Linked DNA regions of Struthio camelus. Each later gene encodes a partner of the first gene's protein in a complex. Links are inferred from orthologs where the notes say so. Each region holds a gene or a part of one and is shown on either strand. Other genes may lie near its edges. The genes, in order: TAF6, TAF13, TAF3 and TAF11.

Region 1 (7,819 bases):
GGCCCCGTCGTCTTCCTGCCCCGGCTTGGTGGATTTGAGCGGCTCCGTGGCCTCGGCTTTCTGCTGCTCCTTGGGGGCTGGGGACAGAGCATGGGAGGACTGGGGGCAGATCTACCCCCTGACTGGGGCAGATTTGTGCTGGTAGGGGGGCAGATCCGCCTCGACGGGGGGCAGATCTATCCCAGGGAAGGCAAAACTACCAGGGATCGGGGGCAAATTTTCTTTTTTGGAGAACAGATCGAGAGGAGCTAGTGGCAGATCTTCCCCATGAGGAGGACAGATCTCCCATGGGGAGTCCAAGGAGAAGGAGGGGCTGCTCTGGGGACACCTGGGTCCCTCACTCACCTGGAGGAGGGTTTTCGGGGATGGCGGGTTGCACCCCCTCGATGCTGAGCCAGTGAGCTGAGAAAAAAAAAGAGAGAGACAAAAAGCGGTGACAAACAGCAAGGAACAGCTCTTCTCCACCCCGAAACCCGCCGTCACCCCCTTACGATGCCTCCAGGCCACCTCCCCTAGGCCCACCCTTGAGGCAGACGTCTAGGGGCACGCGGGGCAGCGGCGTGTTGATGATGTCGCTCAGGTCGACCTCCTTCTCCTCGTAGAAGTAGAGCTCGCGGCCGCCGCCGCTGGCGTAGCGGAAGGGGATGAACTCCTGCGCGTGGAAGCCGTAGAGCGGCTGCGGGGGCAACGGCGGGCTTAGAGGAGGGCTGGCAGCTCCCCCAGGGCATCCCTGACCCCCCCCCCCAAGCATCCCAAAAGTCCCCGTGTGGATCTCAGAGCCCCCCCAGAGCATCCCAGACCCCTGTCATATCCCAGAGCCCCACCAGGAGCATCTACGACCCCCGCAAGCATCCCCAGAACCCCCCCTGTGGATCTCAGAGCCCCCTCAGAGAATCCCAGACCCCTGTCACATCTCAGAACCCCACCAAGAACATCCCTGATCCCCCCAGAGCATCCCCAGACTCTCCGTGTGGATCCCAGAGCCCCCCCAGAGCATCCCAGACCCCTGCCACGTCCCAGAGCCCCACCAGGAGCATCCCTGATCCCCCCAGAGCATCCCCAGAGCCCCCCCTGTGGTTCCCAGAGCCCCCCCAGAGCATCCCAGACCTCTGCCAAGTCCCAGAGGCCCCCCCCCCAGATACAGGTCCCTGCGGTACCTCCACGTTCTTGAGCTTGAGGGCGAAGTCGACGTCCCCCGTCGTCAGCTTACGCCTCTTCCCCATGTGCATGAACTTGAGGGCATCCTGGGGGGCCGGGGAGGGGGGTCAGCAAAGCGAGGAGCCTCCCACGGCCCCCCCAGGACAGGGGACACCACCAGGGAAGGGGCTGAGTGACGCTGGGACGGAGTGGGTGAGACACGTGCTGTCACCTTCCCTCCCTTCCCCGAAGCCTGGGGCTGAGAGACCTCCCCACCCCAGGCTCTGTCCTTGTCCCTGTCCCCTCTGTGTCCCCCCCCACCGTGTCCCCCCCTACCTGGGCGATCTCCTTGAGGCGGTAGCTGGCTTCGTCGGCCAGGAGCTGGCAGGTCTCCTCGGGCACCTGCCCGATGCCCATGGCCTCGGCCATCACCTTCATGGACTCGGCCGGCAGCAGCGTGTGGCTCAGCTTGAGCTTCTTCTCCTCCGCCATCCTCCTCCTCCTCCTCCTCCTCTGGGGGGTGCTGGTGGTGGTCGTGGGGGGCTGCAGAGGGGGGCGGCAGGGTCAGCAGGGCAAGGAGGGGGTCCTACAAGCTGCACCGGAGATCGTGGTGTAGGGACCCCAAAAAGGGGGGTCCCTACACCGGACCCCGGGAAGGAAACATTTAGGGCGAAGCGGAAACGCGGGAGACCCCGAAATAGGGACATCGTGGGGGGAGACAACGGCACCCCAATATAAAGGTGCTGCGGGGGCATCCTAAATATATAGGATGTAAAGAGATCGTGGGTGGGGGGACTTAAACAGGGGGGATTTGGATATAGGAGCATCGTATAGAAATCGAGAGCACGGGGTCGTTTTGGGGGGCAACGAGAGCCCAATATGGAGACGTTAGGACACAGCAGCAAGTGGGAGGGTCCCCGACACAGGGATGCCACGGGGGGGGGGGACCCCAACCACGGGGGGAACCCCAGGGCAGGGGGGGGACCCCCAAACACCCCCAAATACGGGGGGGGGAACCCCACGGTGGGGGGGGACCCAAAATACAAGGGGAATCTCAGGGTGGGGGGGACCCTCAAATATGGGGGGAACCCCAGGGCGGGGGGGATCCAAAACACAGTGGGAACCCCAGGGTGCAGGGGGACCCCTAAACACCCTCAAACACGGGGGGAACCGCAGGGTGAAGGGCAGGGGGACCCCAAACACGGGGGGAACCCTAAGGCGGGGGGGGGACCCCAAACACAGGGGGAACCCCTGGGCTGGGGAGACCCCCAAACACGGGGGGGGGGGGACCCCAGGGCGCAGCCCCAGAGCCAGAGACCGGGGCAGCAGAGCCGGCGGAACCCCCCCGCCACGGGCATCCCGCCCGGGGGGGACCCCAAATACGCGGGCACCGGGGCAGACGGGGGACCCTGATGCAAAGGGGACCCCGGGGGGGGGGGGAACACACGCATGCGCACACAAGCCCCCCCCCGCCCCAAAAAATATACCGGGAGGGGGAGGGCAGCGCGACCCCGCCCCCTTCCCGGAGCCGGCCCCCTCCCCCACCTCTCACGCCGCCTTCCCGGTGCCGGCCGCCGCCGCCGCCATCTTGGCTCCGCCTCTTGCCGCCGTTCACCGCCAGGTCCTGGCCGCTGCACGCTGTGTTGGGGAAGGGGCTGCGGGGCGGGATCCTCGAAGGGCTTTTCGCCCGCTTTTACGTCGGCGGCGAGGCTGAAGAAGCCCAAACCGCCTGGCGTTTAACGGAGCTTAAGGCGAGTCTGACCCCGGCCGCGGATCCGGGAGCCTTCCCACCCCTTCCTTTCCCCCTCGCTCCGCGCTCACTACCTCCCTGCCAGGACCTGCGAGGCGGCGGGCGGGTCGGGCAACGCGCCTGCGCGTCCCGGTGGAGCCGGCACCGCCTCCAGGGCGGGGCGCATGCGTGCTGCCCGCCCCGCTCCCAGTGCGCGTGCGCGGCGCCAGCGACCCGGGCGCCTGGGCCGTATGGGGCTATAGGGGCCCTGGGCTGTATAGGGCTGTGGGTTTCGTGGTCCGGGTGGGGCTATAGAGACCGGTCTATATGGGGCTGCGGGGTCCCTGGGCTGTATGGGGCTATAGGGGCCCTAAGCTGCATAGGGCTTTGGGTTCCCTGGGCCATATATGGGGCTATAGGGACCAGTCTATTTGGGACTATGAGTTCCCTGGGCCATATGGAGTTATAGGGGCCATTCTATATGGGGCTGCAGGGTCCCTGGTCTGTATGGGGGATAGGGGCATATGGGACAATGGGGTCCTGGGCTGTATGGGGCTGTGGGTTCCCTGGTCCATATGGGGCTATAGGCACCAGTCTGTATAGGGCTCACAGGGACCCTGGGCTAGGTAGGACTGTTCGGGGTGCCTGGTCCATATGGGGCTGTAGGGAAAGGGCCATATGGGACTATGGGGACCCTATTCTGTATGGGGCTGTAGGGACCAGGCCATACAGGGCTATAGGGGATCCTGGTCCATATAGCTCTATAGAGAGTGGTTTGTATGTCATTATAGAGCCCCAGTCCATAGGGGGCTATAGAGACTGAGCTATATAGGACTACGGGGACACAGGTCTGTATTAGACTATAGGAACAGACTGTTTAGAGCCACAGTGAATGGGCTATACAGGGCTATGGGGACCCCGGGCCATAGGGGCCATGAAGGTTGAGCCACTGAGGCTTTAGCAGCTGGTCCGGAGGGGCTATGGGGGGGCATTGGTCCCTATGGGGATATAGGGACTGCTCCACATGGGTCTGTGGGGCTATAGAGACCAGCCCATATAGGGCTATGGGGGCGGAGTTCATATAGGACTACATGAACTGATCTATATGGGACTTGGGGCAGGCCTGGGCCATTCAAGATTATGGTGATGGGTCCATACAGGGCTTGGGGCTATAGAAGACTGGACCATATGGGGCTGTGAGCCATATGGGACCGCGGGGACCTCCGGCAGCGTGCAAGTAGCACCCTGAAGTCCCTGATGAACAAGGGGGTGAAGGTGGACCTGGGGGTCCCCGTGGAGCTGTGGGACAAGTCCTCAGCCGAGGTGACACAGCTGAAGCAGCAGGTGAGACCATGGGGGGGGGGGATCCTTGTGGTGCCACCGGGGTCCTAAGGGAGTCCCAGGACATGGAGATGGAGCCCTGGGGACCCCAGGAGGCGCTAGAGGGTGGTGAGAAGGTCCCAAAGGATCTTGGAGGGGGCTCTTGGGGTCCTGGGGGGTGGGGTCCAGGGGATCCTGAGGGGTGGCAGGGGGCATCCCAGGAGGTGCTGGAGGGTGGTGAGAAGGTCCCAAAGGATCTTGGAGGGGGCTCTTGGGGTCCAGGGGATCCTGGGCAGTGGCTGGGGGGGGGGGTGTCTCTGGGGATGATAGGGGGCGGCAGAGGGGGTCCGGGGGGGTGGTGAGGACGAAGCGCCCCACCCCCCGGCCCACGACCACTCCGGGGAGCTCTGAGCCCCGCGGCCGCCACGACGGGGAGCGGGTAGGAGCCTTGGGGCAGGAAACGCCTTGGGGGGCGGAAACACCTTCTTGTGCTTATTGTCCCTCGTCGCCTCCCGTCCGCCTCCCCAAAATGGCGGCGCCCGGGACTTCTCTCTCTAAAGATGGCGGCGCACACTGCCACCTTCCGGCGGGAGCCCCGCCCCTTCCGGGGCAGTGGCGCGCGGAGCTGTTTGGGTGAGGGGGCGCGCCTTGCGGACGGGACCACGGAGGGGTAACGGGGGGGGGGAACATGGAGGGGAGGACAGCGGAAGAAATGGGGGAGACCACTGGGGACAAGGGAGAGGGGGGCCTGGGAGAGACCATGGGGGATAATGGGGGGATATGGGGAGAGACCATTGGGGATAGCGGGTAGGGACGGGGGGAGACCACTGGGGATAATGGGAGTATTGGGGGAGACCATTGGGAATAGTAGGGGGGAGAATGGGGGAGACCATTGGGGATAGTGGGGAGGGACTGGGGGAGACCATTGGGGATAATGGCATTGGGAGAGACCATTGGGGATAATGGGGAGGGATTGGGGGAGACCATTGGGGATAATGGGGAGGGACTGGGGGAGACCATTGGGGATAATGGGGAGGCACTGGGAGAGACCACTCACCCAGTGGCGGGGGGAAGCTGGCAGGTCCTGCACCCTTCCCCACTCTCTCTTCAGGGCGCCCTGACTCGGTGACCTCCGCGACCTCCACACCGCACCGTCCGTCCTCCCCCCCACCCCAAACCGGGGCGGCCATGCTGCCAGGGGTACGGACGGCATCGCTGGGGACCCACGAGGTGCCGGGGACCCCTTACTCCGTGCGGGTGCTGCAGGAGGGCTACAGCCAGGCGCGTCCCGACGGTTCGTTGCTGGCCGACGGCTCCATCACCCTAGTGCGGGGACCCCTGACGGCCCTGGTGGACACGGGGGGACCGTGGAACCGCGAGCGGCTCCCGGCCTTGCTGGCGGCTCAGGGACTGTCGCCGGCCGACGTCACCCACGTCCTCTGCACCCACGGCCACTCCGACCACGTCGGTAACGTCAACCTCTTCCCCGACGCCACTTTGCTGGTGGGCTTCGACCTGAGCCGTGGCGCCGGCTTCTACCTGCCCCACGGTTTGGCCCGGGGCCAACCCTACGCCCTGGATGCCGGGCACCTCGAGGTGCTGCCCACGCCGGGCCACACGGGCGCCCACGTCAGCGTGGCCGTGCACGGCACGGCCCTGGGCACCGTGGTGGTGGCCGGCGACCTCTTCGAGCGCGAGGGCGACGAGGGCGTCTGGCGGGAGCTGAGCGAGGACCCGGCGCGGCAGGAGGCCAGCCGTCGGCGGGTGCTGGCCGTGGCCGACGTCATCGTGCCGGGTCACGGGCCCCCGTTCCGCGTCCTCAGGGAGTGGGAACCCGGGGATGCCCCCGCGGCCCGGGGTGGGGGGACGTTGGGGGACGAGGGACCTGAGGACGGCCCCTAGGGAAGGGACAGGGCTGGGGACAGCCCTGAGGGATGGGGGAGGCTTGGGGACACCACCAGGGGAGACAAGATTCCTGGAGATGTCCCCAAGGAAAGGGTGGGGAACAGACCCAAGGATGTCCCTGAGGGTTGGGAGAGACCTGGGGACATTGCGGAGGGACCTAGGGATGTCCCCAAGGGTTGGGAGAGACCCAGGGATGTCATGGAGGGACCCAGGCATGTCCCTGAGAGATGGGAGAGAGATCAGAGATGGGGGATCAGAGATCAGGTTTCAAGGGAGACATGACCCCCCCCCAAAGATGTCCCCAAGGGAGGGACAAGAGAGACTCAGGGGTGTCCTTGGGGAAAAAGGAGAAACCTAGAGACATCTCTTAAAGAGGGGACAGAGTCAGAGGTGTCCCCAAGGCCTAGGAGACCCTTGGGGATGTCCCCATGGGATGGGAGAGACCCAGGGATGTCCCCAAGGCCTAAGAGGCCCTTGGGGACATCTCCATGGGATGGGAGACCCTTAGGGATGTCCCCAAGGCCTAGGAGATCCTTGAGGCCATCTCCTTGGGATGGGAGACTCTTGGGGATGTCCCCACAGGATGGAAGAGCCCCAGGGATGTCCCCAAGGCCTAAGAGACCCTTGGGGACATCTCCACGGGATGGGAGACCCTTAGGGATGTCCCCAAGGCCTAGGAGACCCTTGGGGACGTCCCCAGCCACAAAATAAAGCTTCTGAGCAGACCCTGGTGCTGGTATCTCCTTGGGGGGGGCTCAGGGAGGGCAGGGCAGGGCCTGGCACCGGCAGAGCCCTAACGAGGGCCTTAACGAGCCGGGCGATAACGGCCCATGTGACGCGGGGGCCCGGACGCCTGGGTCCGTCCCGGTGGCCTTGAGCTTCTGGTAATAACAAGGGTTATCGCGGGGAGGGAGCCCAGGTGTCCGGGTCCGGCCCCGTGGCAGCCCCTGCCCAGCACCCTCCCAGTGCTCCCGGTGTCCTCCCAGCGCTCGGCCGGCCGCGTCCCCGGAGGGTGCCGAGGTGGGCATGGGGGCCCAGCGCTCGGCCGGCCGCGTCCCCGGAGGGCGCCGAGGTGGGCATGGGGACAGGGACGTCGGGGGAGGGGGGGCACGTCCCCTGCAGGGACAGCCCCAGAGCTGGGCACCGTCACCTCGTCCGCCCTGGCGGTGGGGACAGCCAGGCACGCCGGGGTCCCCTGCCCTGTCCCCTCATCGGTGGTCCTCTCTGCCATGTCCCTGCTGTGTCCCCCCTCATGTCCTGTTCCCCCTTGTCCCCCTGCCCTGTCCCCCTTCTCCCCCATCCCATCTTGTCCCCCGTGTCCCTGCCCTGTCCCTCATCCTGTCCCGCCTTGTCCCCCTGCCTTGTCCCCCATCCCATCTTGTCCCCCGTGTCCCTGCCCTGTCCCTCATCCTATCCCCCCTTGTCCCCCTGCCTTGTCCCCCATCCCATCTTGTCCCCTGTGTCCCTGCCCTGTCCCCCATCATGTCCTGTCCCCCTTGTCCCCCATGTTCCTGCCCTGTCCCCCATCGCGTCCTGCCCCCCTTTGTCCCCTTGTCCTGTCCCCCATCCCATCTTGTCCCTCATGTCCCTGCCCTGTCCCCCCTGTCCCTGCCTTGTCCCCCATGCCATCCTGTCCCCCATGTCCCTGCCATGTCCTCCATGTCCCCCATCCCATCTTGCCCCCCCATGTCGCTGCTTCTGTCCCCCATCATGTCCCACCCACCTTGT
Region 2 (7,358 bases), on another chromosome or scaffold:
CAAGTAAATTTGGGATAGGTGATCCCCATTTCCTAGGGAGAAATGAGAACAAGAGAGCTGTGTCCACTGAGGCAGAAGGAAAAAATGAGCTTCCTACCAGACTAAGAATACTTAATCGTTAGTGCTAAGAAATCCACATTATGCAACTTGTGTGAATTCGTCAGTGAATTTTAGTTACGAGGCCTGGCATGAGCTTAAGATGTTTTACTCAAAGAGCATATAGGGAGCAGGGACAGGGAAGAGAACAGAAATTCTAATGGTTTGTGCTCGAAGGCACAGTTTGTCCAGTTCTCCGAGATCCATTTTCTAGGTCTCCTGCGAAGGGAGCATCTAATAATGACTGAAACAGTTGGAAAGAATCAGTTCTCATTAACCCTCTAGATACCTGATAGAACACAGTCCTACTTCAAACACACTTGTCACCATTACAAGAACCTTTAGAGCTCACTTTCACACTTCTTGAGTTTTATAAAATGGTATAAAAATACCTAAGTATACCACATACAGTCAGATAAAATTAGAAGGCTTCGATACTTCTTTGTAAAGGCCGAGAGCCAAGGCAGACATCCCAGCACTGATCTCCATCCTGGAAAAAAAACCTCCAACAAATACATACTAATTCCTTGCTTTTGGGAAGAAGGTGCCCAAGCTGTGCCGCGTGCACAGAAGATCAAGATCCATAGTTTGCCTCATCAAAGGCCTTTCTGGCCCGCTTCAGTTCTTCATTCATAGTCAGGAGGTCCTTAACTCTGGCAAACTTCCGGGGGTCCTTGCGGATTAGAAAGACAATGTCCTCAACCTGTACACGACCCTGCCGCCCAATTGACATGGCCTTGTGCGTCTGTCAGAGGAAGAAGCAAAAGTTACCAGTGTGCCTTTGACCCTGACTTATTTTTTTCAACTCTCAATTCCATTTTATTCCTTGTCACTTTATAAGCCAAAGGTAAGCAATTTCAGGATCTGGGCACCATCATCCTACTCACAGACACACTCCCGAGTGCACTCCTGTGAACTTTTTGTCAGTCTACTATTCCCAGCTCCTTGACACCTACACCTGGTATGTGCCGTTATACATACAGGATCTTAATGACATCAAAACTAAAGCCATGCTACACATAGGGGAGACCAAACCTGCAGAGCGCTTGAGAAAGAACAGCATCAAGGCGAATTTGCATGCAAAAGACAACACCAAATCTGAGGACAGTTTAGGCATTTTCATAAGTGAAGGCAAGGCCAACCTTTCAAGAGAAACAGGATTTTCAAACAGCAGGAAAGACTTGAGTAAAAAAACAAAAAACAAAAAACCCTCAAACAGCATCCAAACAGCAGGATCAGTGATTGCTTAAGGCAGCAGAACCTTGTATTCGTTTTGTGGGACAGAATTGCTTTCCCATCCTTGTAAAAAAACTGAGCAAACACAAAAGTAGATCAACTTTCAAAGTTGACCCTCATCTTCTGTCAGCTGTATACGCAGTGATGCCACAGTGGGCTACAAAGTCAGCTGTGCCTGTAAAATATCAGTCTAACTGCCCCTTACAGATGAAGGCCCTGTTCCAAATCCACATGGAGCAAAATGCATTAGTTTCCACTGAATCTTCGAAGCGCAAAGGCTAACGTGGGATTCTTCCTACTAGCATCAGAGTTGTTGGCCTGGGCTAATCCAGTTGGGTTAGAAGTATTAGCCTACAGAAAATTAAAATCTTAATGAGGATCTTCGAATCTGATTTAACACCTTTAGAAAACAAATTCATCCCTTTTCGTTGAGATATGTTCTGCTAGGAACATCCTATCCTCTGTCCAATCGTGGTGTAATAATCGGTGCATCTGAAATACTAGCAAGAGCTGTTTTTTTGATCGTGACATCTAAATTTGACTTACCATTTCTGTGATGAACTCTATTACCAGATCCTCGAGAATATCCACTGATTCTGTGTAAGGGTTCTGGTCATCCCCAAATCCATACATCATGCATCTTACTGCAGAAAGAAATACTCAGCATGATCCTCCTCTTATTTTTTTTCTGGTCATTCAGCACAGCCAGCAGCATGCCTCTAGTGCTTTAGGCTTACTAGTCTACAAGTTCATGCAGCAGGACGGCATTCCTGACTGCTGGCCAGGACAATTCTTTGGGGAGCTTATGGGAAATAAAACAGACAGAACCCAGCAAGAGCGTAGCACATACGCAGACAAATGCATCTGATGACAGGCTCTTTAAAATGCATTTAGGCTATCAACTACGGGGCATTGCATCGCTGTATGGCTTTTGCCGTTGATAGGCTCAGATGACGCATTAGCAGCAACGTTCTGTCGTATATGACGGCTTTCTCCGCTTTGAGCACGGGTAGGGAATGAAAGCCGTTGTTTTGTTAATGAAGACAACGAGTTTCAAAACTCTACAGCTCCCTAAGACTTGCCGACATCTCTGCAAGAGGTATGCCGTTCGTAAAAGCCACGGCTGGCGCTGCAGCGAGCGACCGGTGCCAGCCGCCGCCGGGCGCAGGCTAGCGGCTCTGGCTTGCACTCACGTTCTTTGGAGAAGAGCCTCTTCCTCCTGCCTTGCCCCCCGTCCAGGCCTCCGCCCGCCTCCTCGGCGTCTTCCTCAAACTGCGGAAAGGCACATTGGGGGGGGGGGGGGGGGGAGAGGGCGCAGTCAGAGCGGGGCCGGGCCGCAGCGCCGCCGGCGGGGGCGCAGGCCAGCCCGGCAGCACCGGGCCGCAGCAGCCATGTCACCGGCTCTGCGGGAGCCCCGGGCGGCGCCCGCACTGAGCAGAGGCGGCCGAAGGCCCCGCACAAAAGCCGGGCACGCCGCCGCCGCTGGCCCGCCCGCGGCCCCGGCGCCCGCGGCTCACCGGCGCGTCCTCCTCCTCGTCGGCCATGGCTGCCGCGCGCCGCTTCCGCTCGGGCCGGCCGAGCTTCCGCCGCCCGGGCCGCGCCTGGGGGCCGCCATCTTGGCGTACGGCGCGGGCGCCGCCCCGAACGGAGCCCGGGGAGGGTCACGCGCCGCAAGGGGGCACTGAAAGGCGGCGGCGCCTCGCTGCTCGTACGCCTGACGGCGCGGGCAGACGCTTGGCGGTGTCAGGCAGCGGCCCCAGTAGGTCCTCCGGCTGGCGATTACCGTGTCCGCAAGCCGCCGGCTTTCTCCGGCTTCGGGGCGTCCCCCGTGGGGGGCCTCTGAAGGGCCGGGCGGGCAGAGCAGCGCAGCCGGGCCCCCTGCAGCGTCGCAGCCGCGACTTGCCGGGCTCCCGCCAGGTTCCCGCGTGCACGTCTGCACGGGGAGCTGCTGCGCTCTGAACGCTCCCCGGACTCCTGCCAGTGTCCGCAACGGTCAGCGGAGGGGCAAGGACTCCGGGGGCTCGTAGGCATAACTTGCATTGCCCTTTATAAAGTAAGACCGAGGAGCTAAAGCGGCAGGAGTAGCAGGCTGACCGTAGTGAGCAGATGTGTCTCAGCGCGGGAGTTAAGACGTGTACCCCTCTTTCCGTTGATGTCTATGCAGGACTGGAAGTTGGCGCTCTGAAGGAGGAAGCTACCCGAATGCAACACGCTGAGCGTAATCAGTATTACACAGCTGCAAACATAAGATAAACCATGAGAAAAATTAACTCTGGGCAAGCTCTATCAGCAAGCTCACCAAGGAGCTAGAGCTGGAGCAAAAGTAGTATATGATGAGGAGCTGAAGTATGCTAAAAGCAAAGAGCTGGAGAGTGAAACTGCTGGCGGCTTTCAAGAGAAGCAATCAGATGGTCTCACCGCTCTTGACAGCGAGGATACAAACCCAAAAGGAAAACATGCATGTCACGAGCCCTAGAACGAGGGAAGCACAGGAATGGATGTTCAGTCTTTTCAGTTAAGTCTCTCCTTTTCACAACTCTCAAGACTTCATAGATCGAAGCACAATTGGCCGAGTATCACAAAACAGCTCTGCAACCGAAGCTAATTCCCACAAGCGTGGCAGTTACCCACAGCCACAACTTTTAAGTTAAATTTAACCCAGAGGATGGAGTTGACTCTCTCATCAGAAGCAGGCCTCAAATCAGCGTGGCGTGTTCTGGCAACTCCTGTGTGCACCGCTCAAGGCCTGCTGTAATTGAGCGTTTCGTGAAGAACGCAGCAGCGGCATCTAGAAGTCCTGGCTGTGGCAGTCCTTCCTTGTCCAGGTGCCAAGCACAGCTCAGCATGACCTCCCCTCAGCCAGAGAACAAGCAGAACGTGAACCCTATGTCCTCTTTCACTGTCTTTGTAGTAATCCTTGACTTCTGTAGACATCTAAACAAACAATGCTTTTTTTCTTTTTTAATAAGATAGGTCTTATGCTGTTAGCCCAAACTAGGCTAACGATGTCAGAGAAAGGAGAGACAAAGGGGCCAGAGATAAGTTGCTGAACTGATTTTAATGAAATCCCATTTCTTGAAGATGAATACAAAGGTAGTAGAGAACAGAACTGCTCTAAAACCATTGAAAGAAGTTTGGAAGATGGATGAACTTCTCCCACAGAAGCTTTAGGTAGTTTTATTGTTGTTGTTGTTGTTTTTAATTACTGTGTTTGTGGTAGGAAGGGGGCCTCTTGAAAGACTGAGTTGAAATCCTGCACTACCTCATCGTACAACCTCCTGTATGACTGTAGAAGTGGGCCCAACAGTCCAAGGCCCCACAGTGAAGGAGCTGCTGAGCCTGTTCGAGACGCCATGAACAACCTTGAGGTCATGAACTTCTGTTTAACACAGCACACACATTGTTGCTTAGTATCTATCACATAGGATAGCCACTTCTTGTTAAAAGATTTTTTTTTTTAAACGTACTGCTATCCTCCCAGTTCAGATGCACTCTTCCTGCAATCTAATCTCATTAACAAAGCAGTTACAGTTTGAGAAAGGATACTGGCTGGCAGTTTGCAGCACAGGCTCTTCAATTAGAGCTGAGGCCTTTAGAATTACAGACTAGATTGATGCTTTTGAAAGATGCTGGTTTTATTTTTTTTAAACAAAAGATTATGCCTGAAACGTTGACCTGCACCTATTCCATCTATCCTTATACTGCTGCACTTCCCCCCGTGGAAGCATCACATGGGCTGGTTTGCTCTGGAGCACTTTAGGATTGGAGGTGAAATATTGAGAATTACAGGTGTGATCTCTGCTTAGGTGTGCAAACCAGAGATCCACCTCTTTCTATTGCATTCATCACACACTGCCGCTTCCTACACATATGGGGAAATAAGCCCTATCTCACGTCTAATCTGTGAGTTAAAAGAAATTCCATAATAAAGCAAAACACTAGAAATACCACCTTCTAACTCTCGAGTGGTTTATGGAAGAATTACTCTTTCATGAGGTTTAAACACTTGATGTAAGTAACGCTGACAACCGTATACATACCTTTGGCAATCCTAATACTCAACAAGACAGTGTCAGAGTTTGACATCAGCACTTAATAGCTTTGATCTAAATTTTCGTGTATGATTACTGCTATTAAGACAGTCCCCTTTTCTGACTCTTTCTGATATTGTAACTACCCAGCTTCGGTCTCCCCAGGATGGGTGCTGGGTGCTGTTAGCTGGATACAGCTGTTGTGGGACAAAGTTTTGCCAGCTGTTACAGTGCTTGCAAAGAATACGGGGCCTCACTATTGTGCTTCAGCTCCCAGTGTAGAACAGATGCATAAAACAAACAACATGTCTCATCTCTGGCAGTTCAGAGTACAGCTGCAGAACTTCATGCTGGAAGGTAAATGCAGCACTGACCGATGATAAAGTGCAGGAGGAGACAGCTCCCCTAGGTGTCATTCATTTATCTCACTCTGTTCCAAGCCAACAGTAATCGAAAGGTAGATCCCATTAAAGATGTGTCCTTTCGTTCATCCACCTAGAACAGGGACAACTTGGTGTATACAAGTAAGGCACGCTATCACACTGCACCTGTTGAATGCATGAGGCAGAGGAGTTACACAATGCAGCTTCCCAGCCAGATCTCTCCTAAAAACACCTTCACAAATTAAGTGCTGGCCATTTCTACTCCAGACAGTCTTACAGCAGGTAGTGAAATAAGTTGAGACTGGTGAACTTCTCAATGTCATTCAATTCAAGTTGGCAAGCGTGGCTTGTTTAATATTAAGAGCTATAACTTTTCTTTTCTAAACTAAATGCCTTTTTATTAATCAGATTACTAGACTGTCTCTAATATCCTAAATACAGCAGAATTTAGGCATGCAGTAGTAGCTTTCTGAACAGTTAGCTGGAGAGAGAGAGAGGAAATGCTGTATTAAAACCTAGCTCCTCTGTAGAGTAGGTTCTCTTTGTTTTTCCCTTCTTGGCACAATCACATAGGTTTTATAAAACCATTTGATAATAAAGTGCATTCCATTGCAGCGCAAATTTCCTGAATGAGTTTATTAAACAAAAAGCTTATCCTTACAAATATTAATTTAACCAAAACCTTAGACAAATTTATCCAAAATATAAGTTCCAGTATTTCAGGTTATTAAAAAAAAAAAAAAAAGCCAGATTTGGTACCTTTTGTTCTGGATGTGCCAAGCAGATCAGGAACCAGTCTTTTTAGTTGGTCTCTGCAACAGGCAGGTTTCCAGTAACATGGGCTATGAAACACCTTAGCAAGTGAACACCTGAAAACTCCAGAGAACTATGGAAACAAAGGTGTGTACATTCAGTGCCTGATCACTGCTGCATCTTGGACTAATATAACCAAACTCAGCCACTGGGTACATTACATTACATCCCCCATAGTGCAGTACAACTTTGATAAAGCAAAAACTTCAGCTACGTAAGCAAACACTTAAGGGTTGCTACTGTCACATAACTCCAAACTACGCTACTGTACGAAACGACCACAAGCACGTAAGCAGGTGCCTGACAAAGCCCGCTGTCACACAGCATAGGTACGGCTGCCCCTCTCAGCCCAAAGGCCAAAGGAAGAAGCAGCCTTGAAAACTGAACTCCACTCACTTGCAGAGGATGTGGAAGAAGGAAAGGGCAGTTACCACAAGCAGCCCACCCTCCATCCTTGGGGCACAGAAAAGTATCGCCTCTGGGACAGATGGACCCATTTCAGGTAGTATGTCCTATTGCTGATCATCACGAGGAAGGAAACGGCAGCAACGGAGAAAAGCTTTACCTGACCAAGAATAGCTGAGGAAAGCATCCCTGAGTTTTCTCCTTTACAAACTCCTGGATCTCCAGTACGTTCTTTAACAACAGTCCCCTGGAAGCTCGGTCGATTTTTGTTAGCACCAGCTGCGTGGGTTCAAACAGGAAGGATTGAGAGAAAAAGATGATTTTGCTGCTAGCCTGGAACATTTGTAAGAATGATTCACCTTACAAAGCGGGCTGAAAGTTCTGGATCTTATCT
Region 3 (7,796 bases), on another chromosome or scaffold:
CAATGAAATGTCTACACCTAGGAGACTCTTCCTGAAAAAAAATCTGTAGGAAAATAAGCAGATTCAAATTTTAAAACTTTGTGGGAAAATAGCTTTGAAAGAGGCCTTGGGGTGGCAGGGAAGATGAATGAATTGATGAAGTATTCCCATTGGAGGAGACAAAGTGCAAAAAGATACGTTGAAGGTTTCTAATACGCTTCAATGTTTCTTACAGGTAAAGAAGAGCTCTTCTGAGCATATGGTTTAACCTGCCTGTGTCTATGTTAATAAGACTACTCCGTCATTTTGTGAAGAAGTGGTAAAGTCCTAGAAATATCTGTAAATTCTTACAATAAACCGCCTACACGAAACAAGTGCTCTTGGTTGTCTAAGTATCTGGATTTGACTTGGTTACTCTTTGAAACAGCTGATTTTTAAGAGGCTGTAACCTATGTGATATACAAAGCATGTAGGTGGGCATTTTCTTTTGCAGGTGGGAAAGAGTGCATAGCTCAAGAATATTAACACCTTGTATTTTCAAGGTGTTTGTTATATATATATTATGTGCTGAAGAGGGAAATGGCTAAATAACTGTTTTGAATCAGGCAGTTAGAACACTGGTCTTTCTGCCTCTGATCACAGTACGATTGTTTCTAGATGTTCATACTCTAAAATTAACTAACATGATTATGGGAATCATTAGTCTTTATTTAGACTGATTACTATCTATCTTGTTTGTCAGTTTATATACTGGCATGCTGTAAAATAGAGTAACCCTTGCCACAGTTCTCAGACCCCACTATACATGACAGAAATGCATGAAAGGAAAAACCGGACATGCTGAAGTAGAAGAAATGGTCAGTAGTAGTGTAGTATAACCATAAGAGCAAAAATATGCCATTCCCAGTTTGGCAGACAAAACAAGAGCCTTGAAGGACTCAGTTGTGTACAGGAGAGGAAGTGGGCAGGGGGTTTGTAGAAGAGAGATGAAGAAAGTGTAAATTGTGTTGAATATCAAAGCAACCTTCCGAGTATGACCTGAGGGACAAGCGTGAACAACCACTTGCTTGCTCGAGCTGCTGTTGGGTTGAGATGGACATAAGTCAGCTAGTCTAGAAAGCATATAATCAAGTGCTGAACTTGAGCTAATATGCTTTCTCAAAGGCACCGTGTTAACTTCATAAAGTGATGTACTGTTGCTATCCTACAGCTTTCAATGTGCTGTCTTTATGTGAGGTTGAATCCTTGGAGAGGATTTGTTACATACTTTGAAGAATCTTTTAATGACTACTTTTAAGAACTATTAACTTTTAAGGAACTAAGGTTCTAATGCTAGGGTTAGTCACACAACCGAAGTTGGTGACTGCTTGGAATGGGTGAATTTGGGAAGCTCTAAAATGTGGAAACACAAACTAGCCACTGGATACAGAGGTGGCCGTTATCCTAATGGAGGAGTTCCTTGATTTATGCAATTCTCAGCTTAAGGCCTTGATCCTGTAATTCTTTAGGAATAATCTATCTAAGCTGTGGGGAAAAAACTGCTTTGACACTGTGAACCTTTGCGGTAATCCGGATGATTTACATTCTACTTTTCCCTGGTAAATGTTTCCGTTCTCTGTTATATGAAATTACATTCCTGACTGGAAAGCCATCACCTCTCTAAGTGATTTCCAGGGAGTGGAGGGGAATGCAGTTCCTACCATGTGTGTGACCTGATGGCATATGCACAACATCATCAAGGTGTGTATCTGTGTAAGGCCAAGGCTTTCCAGCAGCATTGTATTGCCCCAGATTTTTGTCCAGATGGCGTTTCTGTGGCTACCCAGCCTGCTGTCACTACCTTGCATGCCCTCCTGTTTCTGTGCAAGAACCCATGCCTGCCTTCTGCCCAGTCTGCTCGCAGTGAAGAATGCAGTGTGCTACTGATACAGTGAATCCGATAGGTGACTATCAGTTTCTTGCATCCCAGCTGTTCCCTTTAAGTAAGGGAGGAAGGGATGACATGCTTGTGTAAAGCTGAGCATTACGGGGGCTGTTCTGGTTTGAAACAAGGTGGAGACTGCCGCTTGGTGCACAGCGGCTGACGCAGCAGTTCTGCCCAGTCAGCTGGGTCCATCGGGCACCCTGAAGAAGTAAAACAGCCCCTTTGCCTTTCCCAGCCCATCTGATTGTTCCACTCCTCCTCCCCCATACGTCACATCCTTTAATTCCCGTCAGCTACGCAAGGAAATACTTTCCATAACCCTCAAACCTGTCTTCCCTTCTCCCTCTTTCAAGACTCAGCCTGGGTGCTTAGTCTGAGCGAGGTCAAGGTTCCCAGCTGGGGCCCTGAGACATACTCACAGCCTGCCGTCTCCTTTTGTGAGTTCCCCTTGCCTAGGAGGCTGGGTTTCTGCTCGGGCCGCTCTGCAGCAAGACTTGGCCTTGTCCCTGGATACCACGCTTTGCCTTGTGCTTTAGCCGAGCATCTTCCCGGAATCCTAACTGCTCTCTGAATCCATTCCTTGCTGTGAAATACTTAATAGGTAAAGGTTAATATGTGTGTAGAGCAAGGATTAAGCTGTTTCTCCTTTTTATTGGAGAAAGTGGGCATGTGATTTTAGAGGAATTCAGATACTTTGGTGCTAAGATCTCTGGATTTTGGAATCACAGTGAAAAGATGAAACAGCAGCCCAATGTCAAAATTTCTATTCTGGCATGGTGCATTAAATACTTTCTTAGGTACCTAAGGAGTAGTATGTCCACGCAGGGAAGAACTTTCAAATCCCTGCAGTGAATGCTTGGTTCCCCTGGAGGCTTTTATAGCATTCTTACTTGCTCTCAACTTTCTGTCACTCAGACGTGATCATCTTAGCATTCATATACACATTTTTTTTTGGTTACTTCTCTGGACTGAATGATGTTTCCAGTGTCATGTTCCATTGCAGAGGTTTTTATGGATTTCATTACAGAACAATTGCTGCTAGGAGCCGTGCAACTCGGTAATGGTTTGGGGAATTGAACTTGGAAGCCCAGGTCCTTCAAACTAAACAGCAGGAACCATGGAGATAGGCTCTTTTTCTCAGCTTGTTACAGTACAAGCAATCTTTTGTCACCGTTGAGCTCATCCAGTTAGTGTGATATGCTATATGGAGCGGTCTGAACTGCTCAAGTGGGGCAGCTCATGAATCAGGAACCACCGTGCCTAATAAATCCTGTGCTTTTCCTTTCATTGCAGTCAGCCCATGTTCCAGGAAGAGCCCAGGAAACACAAGTCATGTTACTGCGAATATTTGGTAGCATCAGTCCATGGTAATTCCCCTAAGAATACTTCTGAAGTTTACAAAAGGAGGTCTGTGTATTTGCAGCTTTTCTGAACACTCAGAAAATACGTTTCTAAGATGGCAAACGTGCTGCCTGTTCAGGAACTCCCCAAAGCGGCTTGACAGACTGAAGAGAGCAAGCAAAGATCATTCACCTTTCAGTGAACTAATTAGTGAACTAATTAACAGAACTAGTATTTACAGTTGTCTTTCATACTGTCATTAGTTACACACAATTATTGAGTTACAATTTATTATTAAGTGCTATTAATTACACACAACAGTTTTAACAGTTCTGTTGCCCTTTATACTACCTCCTGCACCCCCATGGGGGTGCAATACTATCACCCTTTTCCATACCCATTTAAACTTCTTCATTTAGACCGTTATTAGACGGATTTTTATACCTTAACTGTCTTTTTTTCATTTCTGGACCCTCCTTTTTGCCAGTATTGTACCATCCCTTCCCTGCCCAGCCTCTTCCTGAAGAAACAACCTGCTTGTAAATCCTTCATCCCTGTGGGTCCCAGCTTTGCTCTATCCACACCCAAATTTGGTGTTTATTTCTAATAGAGTTACCCAGGCAACCTTGGCCTTACACATGGCTTCCGTGGCTGCCTACGTACAGGTGGCCTTGGCAAGGTTTTACTCCCCAAAAGATCCCAGAAATTCCTCTTCTGAGTCCTGGGATCCTTCTCGGTACATATTGTTCATTTTGCACACATTTCTGAGACAAGTTCTGGTTCCTCCACCTAGTTCCAAATAAATTCAAGCACTTGCTTATCTTAAGGGCAACAACCCCCACGCCAGAGCGAGGTTACGTGCTTTTTCCCCCCCGCACACTTTTTGCGGGGGCTCACACAGCATCCTGCTCTCCCTTGGCTGCTTCATTACACATCACCGGCCTTAACGTGGCTCTTTTGGATCATCTCCCGCTTCCCCCCACCCCAGTCTTGTCAAGCCTCCCTACAGGCCTTCGGGGCGCTCAAGTCCGTTTCGGTTTAAAGCATCTCGACGAGGCTCCCTTCCTGCGCCCCGGTGGTCGGGGGGTTCTCCCCCATTCCTTTAAAATCACCTATAAAAAAAGCAGAAGGGAAGGTGTCATTCCAGACGGTCAGCTTCGGCGGCAAGGCCCCTGCAGCAAGCACCCGCTGCCGGCGGGTCCCCTCAGCCCGAGGCGGCGTGAGGCGACAAACGTCTTTTACAACCGACAAGCGGCGCGCAGCTTTAGGGCCCGCCGCGCTGGCTGACACGGCCGCGACCGCCCTCCTCCTCCTCCGCGCAGCCCAAACCCATCCGAAAAGGCTTCGCCTCGGCTGGGCGGACCAGAATTTCCCGCTTTCTACGCGATTTTTGAGGTGGTTTTGGGACGACGCGCTCCGGCCACACGGCGCTGAGGCCCCAACCGCCTCCTCCCCCCGCTCTCACCACCTCCTCAGAGCAAGGAGGGGAGGGAGGATGGCCGAGCGGTCGAGGGCGCTCGATGCGCTCGGCGCTGCAGCCGCGCGGCCTGGCGGCGGGGAGGCGCGACGCCAAGATGGCGGCGGCGGCGGCTGTGGCGGCGGCGGCGGCGGGTTGTGCGTGAGCTTCGCCTCGGCCCTGGCGGCGCCCAGCCGGCCGGCATGTGCGAGACCTACTCGCGTTGGTTGCTGCGGGTATCGGTGGCGCAGATTTGCCAGGCCTTGGGTTGGGATTCGGTGCAGGTCTCGGCCTGCGACCTCCTCACCGACGTGCTGCAGCGGTACCTGCAGGGGCTGGGCCGGGGCTGCCACCGCTACTGCGAGCTCTGTGAGTGCCGGGGCGGCGGGCTGGGCTGGGCTGAGGGGGCCGGGGGTCGGGGGCGGAGAGGAGAGGGCACGGAGAAGGAGCGTGGGGGGCTGTGGGGCAGTGGCGGGGGCCGAGAGGAGCGGGAAGGGAGCCGTGGGTCCGAGGTGGCGCCCCCACGGGAGCGGTGGGCCGGGGGTGTGGGGTGCGGTGAAGTCACGGGGCAGCGGGTCTGGGGTGCAGGCGTGAGAGGGCAGTGAGTGTCCGCTGTGGGGCAAGGGGGAAACAGCGGGGGTGAGGCACTAGGAGTGGGGTGCTGTATGTGCACATAGGGGGAAGCGGGGCAGTTGGGAGCGGGTCTGGGGTGGGGATGGGGGGGGAGATGGGGCTGCTGCCCCACTTCTTTGGCTGTAGTGTGCAGGGTGTGTGTTGGGGGGGTGTACAGGAGGAGAGGACGGGCCTGTTGGTCCCGTTGCTGGGGCTGTAGTGTGCTGGGGTGGGTGTGCGGAGAGGGGACACAGGGGACCGGTCCCGGGTGGGAGGCTGCTGTCCCAGGCCATCTCAGCGTCAGCAGGTGCGCACTGGGGGAAGTCGGGGGGCTGCAGTCCCCACGGCCACTTTGGGGCCTGGGGCTGCCATTTACGCCAGGTTTGGGCTGTGTGAAGGGCCAGGGGGTTGGGGGGTGTTAACCCCGTGGTGGGGCCGCAGTGAGCGCGCTGGCGGGGAGCGTAAGCAGTGAAGGGTTGGAGCTGCCGTGCGCGGCGTGGAGCCCATATTAAAGGACCACGGGGCCCCATATATTAAGCTGTGGGGGAGGGGTGTGCAGTGGGAAGTGATGGTGTGTATGGGGGGAGTGGGGGAGTGCGGTGTGTGAGGTCGGGGGTGTGCTTGTGTGTCTTGGTGGGGGATGGAGCTGTAATGCCCACACCGTGGGATGTGCACAGGGCGAGTGATGGGGCTGAAGTGTCTGAGGTATGGGGGTTTGTAGGTGGGAAAGAAAACGGACAGAGCTGGAGATCTTTTTAGTGCGCGTGGTATGAGGTACGTTGGAGACGTGCGCCTGGGGGTTGGACAAAGCAAATTTCTGTGCCCCTTCTGAATCTGAGAGGGGGAGGGGGTAGGGGAAACGGAGATGTGGGTATCAGTGCTGGTGGAGTGGTGGATGAGGTGGTGCTGTGGCGGCTGTTGAGCAGGATTTGGACTGTTGTAACACTCCATAAATACTGCAGGGGAGATGGAGTGCGGTGCATAGTGGAGAGGCTGGGGGAGCGAGGGTGCCCTGTAGGAGTGGAGATAGGCTGTGTGTGCACATGGGAACCAGGGCTGCTTGCGCCTCTTGAGATCTTAAACGGGACCAGGGAAGCAGGGAGTCCTGGAGCCTAGGATCAGGAGTGCTGTTGCCAACTGCGTCAGTGTGGAAGATATTTCAAGGAGCCCTAACAGGATTGGGATCGGGAGTACACTCCTCTTGCAAAGCAGGCAGTGTATGTGGAGGGTTGGAGGGATTTGGGGAACCAACTGCTGCCTGCATAAAGAGGAAAGGAGGAAAGCCTCAGGAGGGAGGAGGGTCGCTTGACCACCACCTGCTCAAGGAGAGCAGGGAATTTGGGGAGACTTGGGCACGGAGATTGGACTGCCGTGCTGCTCTTGTCTGCTTCTGAAGTGCTTGGGGCCTGGGGACGACTCTCTGGGGTCTGGAACCGTGTGATGAGGCCGTGTTAGAGACTGCATCTGCTTGGCCTGCAGCGTGCTCTGAGTTTGGGTTGCTGAAGGGAATGTGGAGAGACTGAGGGGGGCAGGTTTCTTGTTACCACTTCCTTCAGCATGCTGCGGGGCTGTGGGCTGTCACTGCTCTGCGTGCATGTATATATTTATAGAGAGAGAAGTCCGGGATAGCCCCGAAACAGAGGTCAGAGTTGCTATGCTGTTGGATGTCAGCATGGAAGACATTTAGAAGAGTAGAGGGTTGGGGGTTAGGGTGGATGATGTGGTGCTTGCCTGAAGAGCTGGATATGGAGAGGGTGACTTCCTAGGAAAGGATTTGTGGCTATGACAAGCCACCACCAGTGCTTGTGGGAGAAGTAACAGGGATGGCAGCTCTGAACAACTGAGAACTTTGCTACCACTTCCACCCCAGTTGTGTGGATGTGGGCTCTGTGCTAATCAGGGCTCATGTGGATGAGGGGGATACTGAGGACACACTGCAGCTCCAGGTGGTAGCTGCAGCTTCGAGATCAGAGGAGCTTTGAAGGGTGGAGGTGTTGGCTTCCTCGGCAGGAGTGAATTTGGAGGGTGTGTGGGACGAAGGACCGTGTGCCAGGAGGGAACGCTCAGCGTGATAAGCATAGTCAAGAGAGGAGCAGCCTTGGCCTGGCAGTGCTGCTTGTTGTCGTGTCTGTTCTCTGAGGCAGAAGTTTTCATTGCTGCAGTGAGCCCCAGTAAAGCATGGTGATGATCTGAACATACCTGATACCTGGCTCTGCCTCAGCTTGTTGAATCCAGGAATAATCAAGATCTAGTCTGAGTCTGTCACTGCCTGTTTATCTGAGCCCAAGCTTGGCTGCCTCTGCCACGGCTAGGAGGAAAAGATGCATAGACGGTGGAAATACAGTTTTTTTTTTTTTCCTCTCAGTGCTTAAGGAATTGGAAGTGCTTACTGAAAGCTGGTAGAAATAAAATATCCCTCTCTTGCTTTGAGGGTGCTTAGAGATAGTGGAGAAGGGAAGTTTTGCCCCCCCCCGGTGAATGGAA
Region 4 (7,443 bases), on another chromosome or scaffold:
GCCTCACCACAGTTGCCTAAACGAAAGTCTACGCACAATAAAACGTTTACAGGCTCCTTGAAGGGGAGGCTCTAATACCAAAATATGCTCAATGGGGTAACTGCATTACCCCATACAGAGGTACTCTGAGCTTCATCTGCAGGGCTTTTTCCTCAGTCCTCCTACCCCATCAGCCATGCCAAGAGTATTAACGGCTACATTTTGTAAACTGAAAACAAGCCACATAAAAATCAAGCTGGACTGAGTGCAACTTCAGCATCAAGGTTTGTTTTCCTGTAGGTCCTCGGAGAACGATACGGGCAGGCAACAACAGAAGCTTGGAGCGCTTAAGCCTCGTAGTTCTGCTACGACTCTTGAGGTTACGCAGTACCCAACTGGAAGCTTGCTTTAACTCCTGTCTTGTCATGATGCTGTTGAGATACTTCAGTGGAAGATGATTTTCTTATATTTGGAATTGGGGATCTGTCCCCGTGACTTGAGCCTCCTGACTGCCTCTCGCATGTGTTTGGGCTGTAGAGGTGGCAGCTCTCCCCACTTCTCACATACATCCAGTGCTAAACAAAAAACAAGAGTTCACATAAGCAGGACAGCTGAGCTGAGCCAGTCTCTTAACAGATGATACCTGAAAAGCCTCCTACTGTTTTGAGCTTTAAATTTCAAAGGCAAAAGGTAACTTTTCTCTTGTTCAGAGTTTAAAGCTCATTTTATTAATGCATGAGAGTGAAACTGCCTTATGTGTTTCTCTTTGACTAAAAGAAAAGTTAGTCCTAGAGGCATCAGCACTGGACAAGAATAAACCACTTCTCAAACAGCTTCAGCTATGGAATACGCTAGTTTAAGTCATGCAAGAACTTGGCAATAATGCCTTATGATCTTAAGCCTTCCACTTTAAAAACCCCTCTAGATTGGGATTAGGTTTTGGGGTCATTATGTGTAGGAGCAATAGGAAGGTACAATTTACAATGGACTTACAGGCCAATTCCTTCTCCATCAGCTAGAATAAGCATTGTTTACATCTCCTGCCAAGGACATGAAGCAATTAAGTACAGCAGTGAAGCTGCTTATCCAAACTGCCTCAGGTAACACACAGAGCTGCAGCAGGGAAACAGCCAAACTGCATCATCCTGGATAAGGTAATCCCTGCATGTATAGGCCACATGTTTTGCATGACAAGTCTGTACTGAGCAGATGGCATGAACAAACAGTACTGTCTCCTCCTGGAGCGTGAATAAGGGAAAAAAAAAAAACCCAGGTACTTGGCTGGGTCAGCCTTCTACAGGATATCCCAAAGAGATCTCGGCTCATTGTTTAAAGCCTGAGTCTTACAGATGAGAGGCCTAAATAACTTATTTCCCTGGGCTGCATTTGTTGTCCACAGCAGCATTAGCAAAGATCTTGACTGCCCTACTGCAGCCTGCTCACACGCCGATTTGTGTGGCAAGAATGTTGACGTTATTTTCCTTTGAGGAACCAATAGAATTCCCAGTCTCGTTTCATATCCTTCTGCTTGGTTTTAAGCAATGAATTTACCATTGTATTTTTAACCTTTTTGCCCCACGATAACATATTCCACTTACCTTCTTCCACCACCTCCCCAACGAAGACCTTGGAAATGCCGGACATGGCAATAACCACGTTCTGAGAGACAGAGGTGCCAGTAATTGACTGGATTAGCTTGACAAGCAGGGAAGAGACAGTCAGTTGAATGAAGTACGCAGCAACAGCGAAAGTACTAGCCATTACTTCTATCTGTTGCCCCACGCACCCTAACCACTTTCAATTACAATGGGTTGGCAGAGACCCCCATTTAAACTGCATAAGCCATGCAAATTCAGTAAGCTCGAACAGGGTCAGATAAGCTGATCTGAGGACAACGGTCTCGGCCACGAAGGCTGAGACAAGCAGCTGGAAGAGAAGGTGCATCCACAGCCTGCGCATACAGCGGATCCAGTTCTTACCCTATGCAAGTCTTAAATCTGCAGTTCTATAGCCAGGCTTGGTAAGGCTCAGCCTTTTAACCCAGCCCACTTTGCTCATATTTTTTCCCCTATAGCAAAGCGTTATTAAAACCATACCCGTTTAATAGCAGCTTTGGGGAAAGCAGACCGACGATACATCTCATAACGATTCAACTGTTCTTCAGAAAAGGAAGAGACTAGTATTCTGGGGTGGAAAAAATTGATTGTTTACAGGGGAAAAAAAAAGAAAAAAGAAAAAAGAAAAAAGTTTAGCACATCTCTGGCTACTGGGTTACTGAAAGTCTCGCAGAACCTTCCTACCACCCCAAACCTCTCACAGTACAGAAGAGGGCCAGGAAGGGAAAGACTGTTCCAGCTGTACTAAAATTTATATGCAAAATGGCTAGGCCCATTCAGGAGGGGAGAGACCTGGGAAAGAACTAGGGAAATCATCAGCAACAGTCTCATAAAACAGCTAGAGGTTCACTACGCAGTCAGCGTGTCTAGAGACAAACTCCATACAGCAACTTGTGCCCTAGGGAGCACCAGCCTCCTCCAGGGAGCAGCCCGGCCCGGCGCACCGCCACTTACTGCATCTTCTGGATCTCGTCCTCGTCCACTTTGTGCTTCTTCTCCTTCCTCTCCTTCAGCTCCAGCTTCACCTTCTTGGCCGCGGACGGCTGCAGGCTCGGGTCCTCCCCGTCCACCGCCTCCCCCTCGGCGCTCCTCACCTGGGCGAGAGCGCACTGCTCGGCTCGGCGGCGCCACGACCCGGCCCGACCCGGTCCGGCCCGACCCCCCCGCGCCCCCTCCTCGCTCCGGCCCGGCCTCACCTCCCCCGCCTGCGCCTCTACCGCGGACTCGCCGCCCCCGCCGGCCTCTCCCGCCTCGCCCTCAGCCGCTGCCTCCGCGGCTGCCGGCTCCTCTGCAGCCGCCGCTCCGGGGCCCGGGGGAGACGAGGAGGCAGCGGCCGGCGGCGGCTCCGGGGCGGAGGCTCCAAGCTCCTCACGGCCCGGCGAGTCGGGCTCCGCCATCGCTCCCCGACGGCGGCGGCGGCGGCGGCGGCGGCGGCGGCGGCGGCGGCGACGCCTCCTGATGACGCCACCGCTACGGTTGCCGCGAAGGGCCGCGCCTTGCCGGCGGCGGGGCGGGGCCTGTCGCCATGGCAACGAGGCCTGCCCGGGGGTGAGTGATGGGGCCGGGGCGGGGGGGACTGGGAGGTACTGGGAGAGCGGGTGGGGAGGGCCGGGGGCGGTGTGGGGGTTGTGGGAGGGAGGGCCTTGGGGTACTGGGGGGTACTGGGGCGGGATGGGCTGGGCTGGGGGGTACTGGGAGAGGGGGGTGGGAAGGGCTGGGGCAGTACTGGGGTACCAGGGCGGGAAGGGCTGGGGGGAACCGGGTTCCTGGGGTGGGAGAGGCAGGGGTCAGCCCCGGCGTATTGGGGCGCCGCGGGGGGTGACGCAGCGGGGGGCAGAGGCCAGGCCAGTAGGGAGCCGAACTGCAGGGCCTGGAGCTTGGCTCCGGCCGGGGGGCAGGACGTGCTGACAGGGGCAGCCGTGTCCCTTCCTGCTCTTGGAGCAAGGGGACGGTTGTTACACTGATGAGTTGCTGGAGTCGTTGCAGAAGCGCGTTCTCAGCGTGGCGTTCTTGCACGGAAATAGGAAAAAAGTTAAATATTAAGAAGGAAAAGTGTTACGGTAGGGACAGAGTCTGGGGTCTGGAGCTGTGGAAACAGCCCAGGGTCTGGGTGCACGCTTTAGTCTGTGGCTCTGCAAACCCAGATCAAAGTCACCAACAAAACAGCTCTCTCTGAGGCATTGGCAAGGATCTCCTGCTGATTTTGTTTCTTGGAAGCATGAATCAATTTGGAAAGGCTAAGCCAGTCAATGATTTTCTGCATTGTTTCCGTCTAACAGGGTACCACATGACACAGCAGGGAGCAGCAAGGTTGGGGCGAGACGCGGGGAAGCCGGGACTCCCGCGTTCCCGGCCCCCCCAGCCCCTCCTCAAGCCTGGGAATTCTGACGCTGCTTCTTTGTTTCTTTGTTTGTTGTATGGAAAAGTAGTGATAACGTTGACCAGCTTCACAGGGCTACAGGATTAATTCCAGCTTGCAAAATACTCTGAGCGCCTCTGGTGAAAGGAGCTAAATATGTGTAATTTCCAGCGGCCCTCTCACGCATCAGCTTCCCCTGCGGGCTCTGGCGAGGCAGGGTATGGCCGCTGCCACGCGCGCTGGAGCACGTGGAGTCCCGCACGAGCGCGTGGCACCTCGACGCAGGGGATGTTTCTGGCGGGCACCAAGGCTGTGATCTCCTGTAAGTGTCCTCCTATGTATTTCCCTCAAGGTGAGGTCAAGGTGAACGACGTTCATCTCCCGTCTCTCGAGCGCAGGCTGCGCTGGGTAAGGGATATCCCCCAGCCAGAGACCTGAAAACTGCCTGAGCAAAACTGTGGCAAATCCACTTCAGTTCCGCTTGGAGGGGCAGCGACCGAGGCTGGCTCTCTGAGAGGACTGATGCTGTTAACGTGCTGTTCAAATGGAGCACCTGGCCGCATTTGAATCATTTTGCGTGCCAGCTCGTAGGCTGCCATCGCGGACAACTGTTTCTGGCTGTTTTGCTTCCCCTTGAAGAGCGATCGTCAGCCAGAGCAGAGCACCAGCACCGTTCCTCCCCAGAAGCCTTTGCTATGGGCAACGGCTGAGAAATAGCCTGCGAATATTCCTTTTTCGTGTCTCTTTCGCCAATAGACGCGCAGAACGAGAGCCCTGGCAGAGACGTGCCTTATTTAAACTGTTCTAGGAATTAATTCTTGTACATATTATGCCCAACTGCTCTAGCGACGGGAACCCTGGAAATGCAGAAAGCGCTGGGGCTAGACCAAAGGCGGTCCCTTTCTTTGCGTAGCGCGTGCTGTAACCCTACCTTTGCGTTATTCACGTCCCTCCCTTTCGCGGTTGTAGCAGACTCCTTAGCTTTAACGAATAAAATGAGCCAAAGCAAAATTAATTTAAAATACCCTTAAAAAAAATAGTTGGAAGTCATTTAAGGGATTTATGGAACTAACGAGGCCAGGTGTAAATCGCCTTTTGGGCGTTGCACAGCCACTAACACCGCAGGCACATCCGGCCCTCATGCACCGGGGTGGGGCGGGTCGGGCCCCCCAGCCCGCACGCGTGGGAGTTTCGGACCCGCCCCCCTAGCCCGCACGCGTGGGAGTTTCAGGGCCCCCGGGACCTTACGCACAGCGGTTTCAGGGCCCCCCTGCCCCGGAGGGGGGCGAGGGGGCGGTGCCCTGCCATCCCGCCGGGGGGGCGTCCCGCCCCTGTAGGGCGGAGCTTCTTCAGGCCACGCCTCCCCCCGCCGTGGGCGTGGCTGCGGGCCGAGAGGCCCCGCCATGCCAGGCCCCGCCCTCCGTCAGGCCCCGCCCCGGAAGGACGCGCAGGGGGCGGGGCGCGGCGGCGGCGGCGGGCGGCCGGGGCCGGGCCATGGGGAAGGAGCAGGAGCTGCTGGAGGCCGCCCGCACCGGGAACCTGCCCGCCGTGGAGAAGCTGCTCTCGGGCAAGCGGCTCAGCTCCGGTTTCGGCTCCGGCGGCGGCTCCGGCGGCGGCTCCGGGGGAGGCGGCGGCGGCGGTGGCGGCGGGAGCGGCGGTGTGGGGCACCCGCTGTCCAGTCTCCTCAGGTGAGCGCGGCCCGCGGGGGGCGGGGAGCCCAGACGCTGTAGGCCCTGGGGCGGGCGTGGGGCTGGGGGGCCGTGGGGCTGGGGGGCCGTGGGGCTGGGGGGCCGTGGGGCTGGGGGGCCGTGGGGCTGGGGGGCCGTGGGGCTGGGGGGCCGTGGGGCTGGGGGGCCGTGGGGCTGGGGGGCCGTGGGGCGGGGGGCAGTGGATGCGTGGGGCTGGGGGGCCGTGGGGTGGGGGGCAGTGGATGCGTGGGGCTGGGGGGGCGTGGGGTGGGGGGCAGTGGATGCGTGGGGCTGGGAGGTGCAGGGTGCGTGGGGCTGGGGGGCCGTGGGGTGGGGGGCAGTGGATGCGTGGGGCTGGGAGGTGCAGGGTGCGTGGGGCTGGGGGGCTATTGGGTGGGAGGCAGCAGATGCATGGGGCTGGGGGGTGGGAGGTGCAGGGTGGGAGGCAGCAGATGCGTGGGGCTGGGGAGCCAGGAGGTGTAGGGTGCGTGGGGTGGGGGGCAGCGGATGCGTGGGGCTGGGAGGTGTGGGGTGTGTGGGGCTGGGGGGCTGTGGGGTGGGAGGCAGCAGATGCGTGGGGCTGGGGAGCCGGGAGGTGTGGGGTGCGTGGGGCTGGGAGGTGTGGGGTGCGTGGGGCTGGGAGGTGTGGGGTGCGTGGGGCTGGGGGGCTGCGGGGTGGGAGGCAGTAGATGAGTGGGGCTGGGAGGTGAGGGGCGCGTGGGGCTGGGGGGCCGTGGGGTGGGAGGCAGTGGATGCATGGGGCTGGGGGGCCAGGAGGAGCGGGGTGTGTGGGGCTGGGAGGTCGTGGGGCGGGAGGCAGTGGATTCATGGGGCTGGGAGGCATGGGATGTGTGGGGCTGGGGGGTGGGAGGCAGCGGATGCGTGGGGCTGCGGGGCCATTGGACGGGAGGCAGCGGATGCGTGGGGCTGGGGGGCCATGGGGTGGGAGGCAGCAGAGGTGTGGGGCTGGGAGCCGTGGGGTGTGGGAGGCAGTGGATGTGTGGGGCTGGAGGGCTGCGAGGTGTGGGGTGCATGGGGCTGGGGGGTGGGAGGCAGCAGATGTGTGGGGCTGGGAAGCCGGGAGGCGCGGGGTGCGTGGAGCTGCAGGGCTGTGGGGAAGGGGGTATGTTGGGCTGTGGGGCAGGAGGTGGGATGTCACGGCGTTGAGGGCAAATAGGGTTGTGGAGTCCGGGGGCCTGGGGTAGGCGGTAGGGATTGGGGTTTGTGGGGCGGAGGTGGCTGTGGGGCAGGAGGGTGGGGGTCTGTGGGGCAGGAGAGGGGGTGTGTGCGGCTGGGGGGTTTTAGGACCGTAGGGCGGGAGGTGAGGCGTATGGGGCTGGGGGGCAGAGGTGGGAGAGGCAGGCAGCGTGGGGCTGTGGGGCCTGTTGGCAGGGGCTGGGGGGAGGCTGCAGGGGTTGCGGGTTTGGGGGTGCCCGTGGGGCTGGGGGATGAGGTCTGGAGCCTGAGCCAGCGTGAGCTGGGCGAGGAGACGGCGGCAGTGGGGCCGGGGGTGGGATGAGGCGTTAGGGAGGGGGCCGTGACGGGGGTACGGGAAGCACGGGCTGGGCCGGGGGGAGACCCTGCGGCGTTGGTGCCGCCTGGGTGTTACGGGATCCATGGGGGCTGGCGGCGGCGGCGGGAGGCTGGGAGAGCCGGGAGACGCGGCTGTCTGGAGCGCGTGCTCCCGGCGTGGGGAGCTGCCCGGTGATGTGTCCCCAGGGCTTAAACCGCTACAGGGTTACGTACGCCATTGGTAACGGCGGGTAGCTGGGGACTGGCGAACCAGGGAAAAGGTGCTGTG

What was found.
Region 2: TAF6 (region 1) and TAF13 share a complex: the UniProt entries of both Homo sapiens proteins name them as parts of the TFIID basal transcription factor complex. The link is inferred for Struthio camelus from reciprocal best matches to the Homo sapiens genes TAF6 and TAF13.
Region 3: TAF6 (region 1) and TAF3 share a complex: the UniProt entries of both Homo sapiens proteins name them as parts of the TFIID basal transcription factor complex. The link is inferred for Struthio camelus from reciprocal best matches to the Homo sapiens genes TAF6 and TAF3.
Region 4: TAF6 (region 1) and TAF11 share a complex: the UniProt entries of both Homo sapiens proteins name them as parts of the TFIID basal transcription factor complex. The link is inferred for Struthio camelus from reciprocal best matches to the Homo sapiens genes TAF6 and TAF11.

What each region holds. Positions count from the first base shown.
Region 1 is NC_090978.1:546,394-554,212, forward strand, and holds the start of TAF6 (transcription initiation factor TFIID subunit 6), read right to left. Parts: upstream 3,007-7,819; 5' UTR 2,683-3,006; intron 1,681-2,682; 5' UTR 1,630-1,680; coding exon 1,474-1,629; intron 1,245-1,473; coding exon 1,158-1,244; intron 677-1,157; coding exon 523-676; intron 403-522; coding exon 346-402; intron 78-345; coding exon 1-77. Other genes in the region: MBLAC1 (metallo-beta-lactamase domain-containing protein 1), read left to right, coding at 4,124-4,210, 4,747-4,819, 5,298-5,654. UniProt on the Homo sapiens protein: The TFIID basal transcription factor complex plays a major role in the initiation of RNA polymerase II (Pol II)-dependent transcription.
Region 2 is NC_090942.1:96,845,901-96,853,258, forward strand, and holds the start of TAF13 (transcription initiation factor TFIID subunit 13), read right to left. Parts: upstream 3,006-7,358; 5' UTR 2,877-3,005; coding exon 2,850-2,876; intron 2,605-2,849; coding exon 2,526-2,604; intron 1,977-2,525; coding exon 1,879-1,976; intron 842-1,878; coding exon 671-841; 3' UTR 1-670. Other genes in the region: GTPBP8 (GTP-binding protein 8), read right to left, coding at 6,548-6,632, 7,125-7,297. UniProt on the Homo sapiens protein: The TFIID basal transcription factor complex plays a major role in the initiation of RNA polymerase II (Pol II)-dependent transcription.
Region 3 is NC_090942.1:5,343,378-5,351,173, forward strand, and holds the start of TAF3 (transcription initiation factor TFIID subunit 3), read left to right. Parts: upstream 1-4,786; 5' UTR 4,787-4,903; coding exon 4,904-5,069; intron 5,070-7,796. UniProt on the Homo sapiens protein: The TFIID basal transcription factor complex plays a major role in the initiation of RNA polymerase II (Pol II)-dependent transcription.
Region 4 is NC_090965.1:5,430,711-5,438,153, reverse strand, and holds the start of TAF11 (transcription initiation factor TFIID subunit 11), read right to left. Parts: upstream 3,016-7,443; 5' UTR 2,993-3,015; coding exon 2,792-2,992; intron 2,690-2,791; coding exon 2,550-2,689; intron 2,164-2,549; coding exon 2,076-2,163; intron 1,675-2,075; coding exon 1,578-1,674; intron 555-1,577; coding exon 424-554; 3' UTR 1-423. Other genes in the region: ANKS1A (ankyrin repeat and SAM domain-containing protein 1A), read left to right, coding at 5,449-5,642. UniProt on the Homo sapiens protein: The TFIID basal transcription factor complex plays a major role in the initiation of RNA polymerase II (Pol II)-dependent transcription.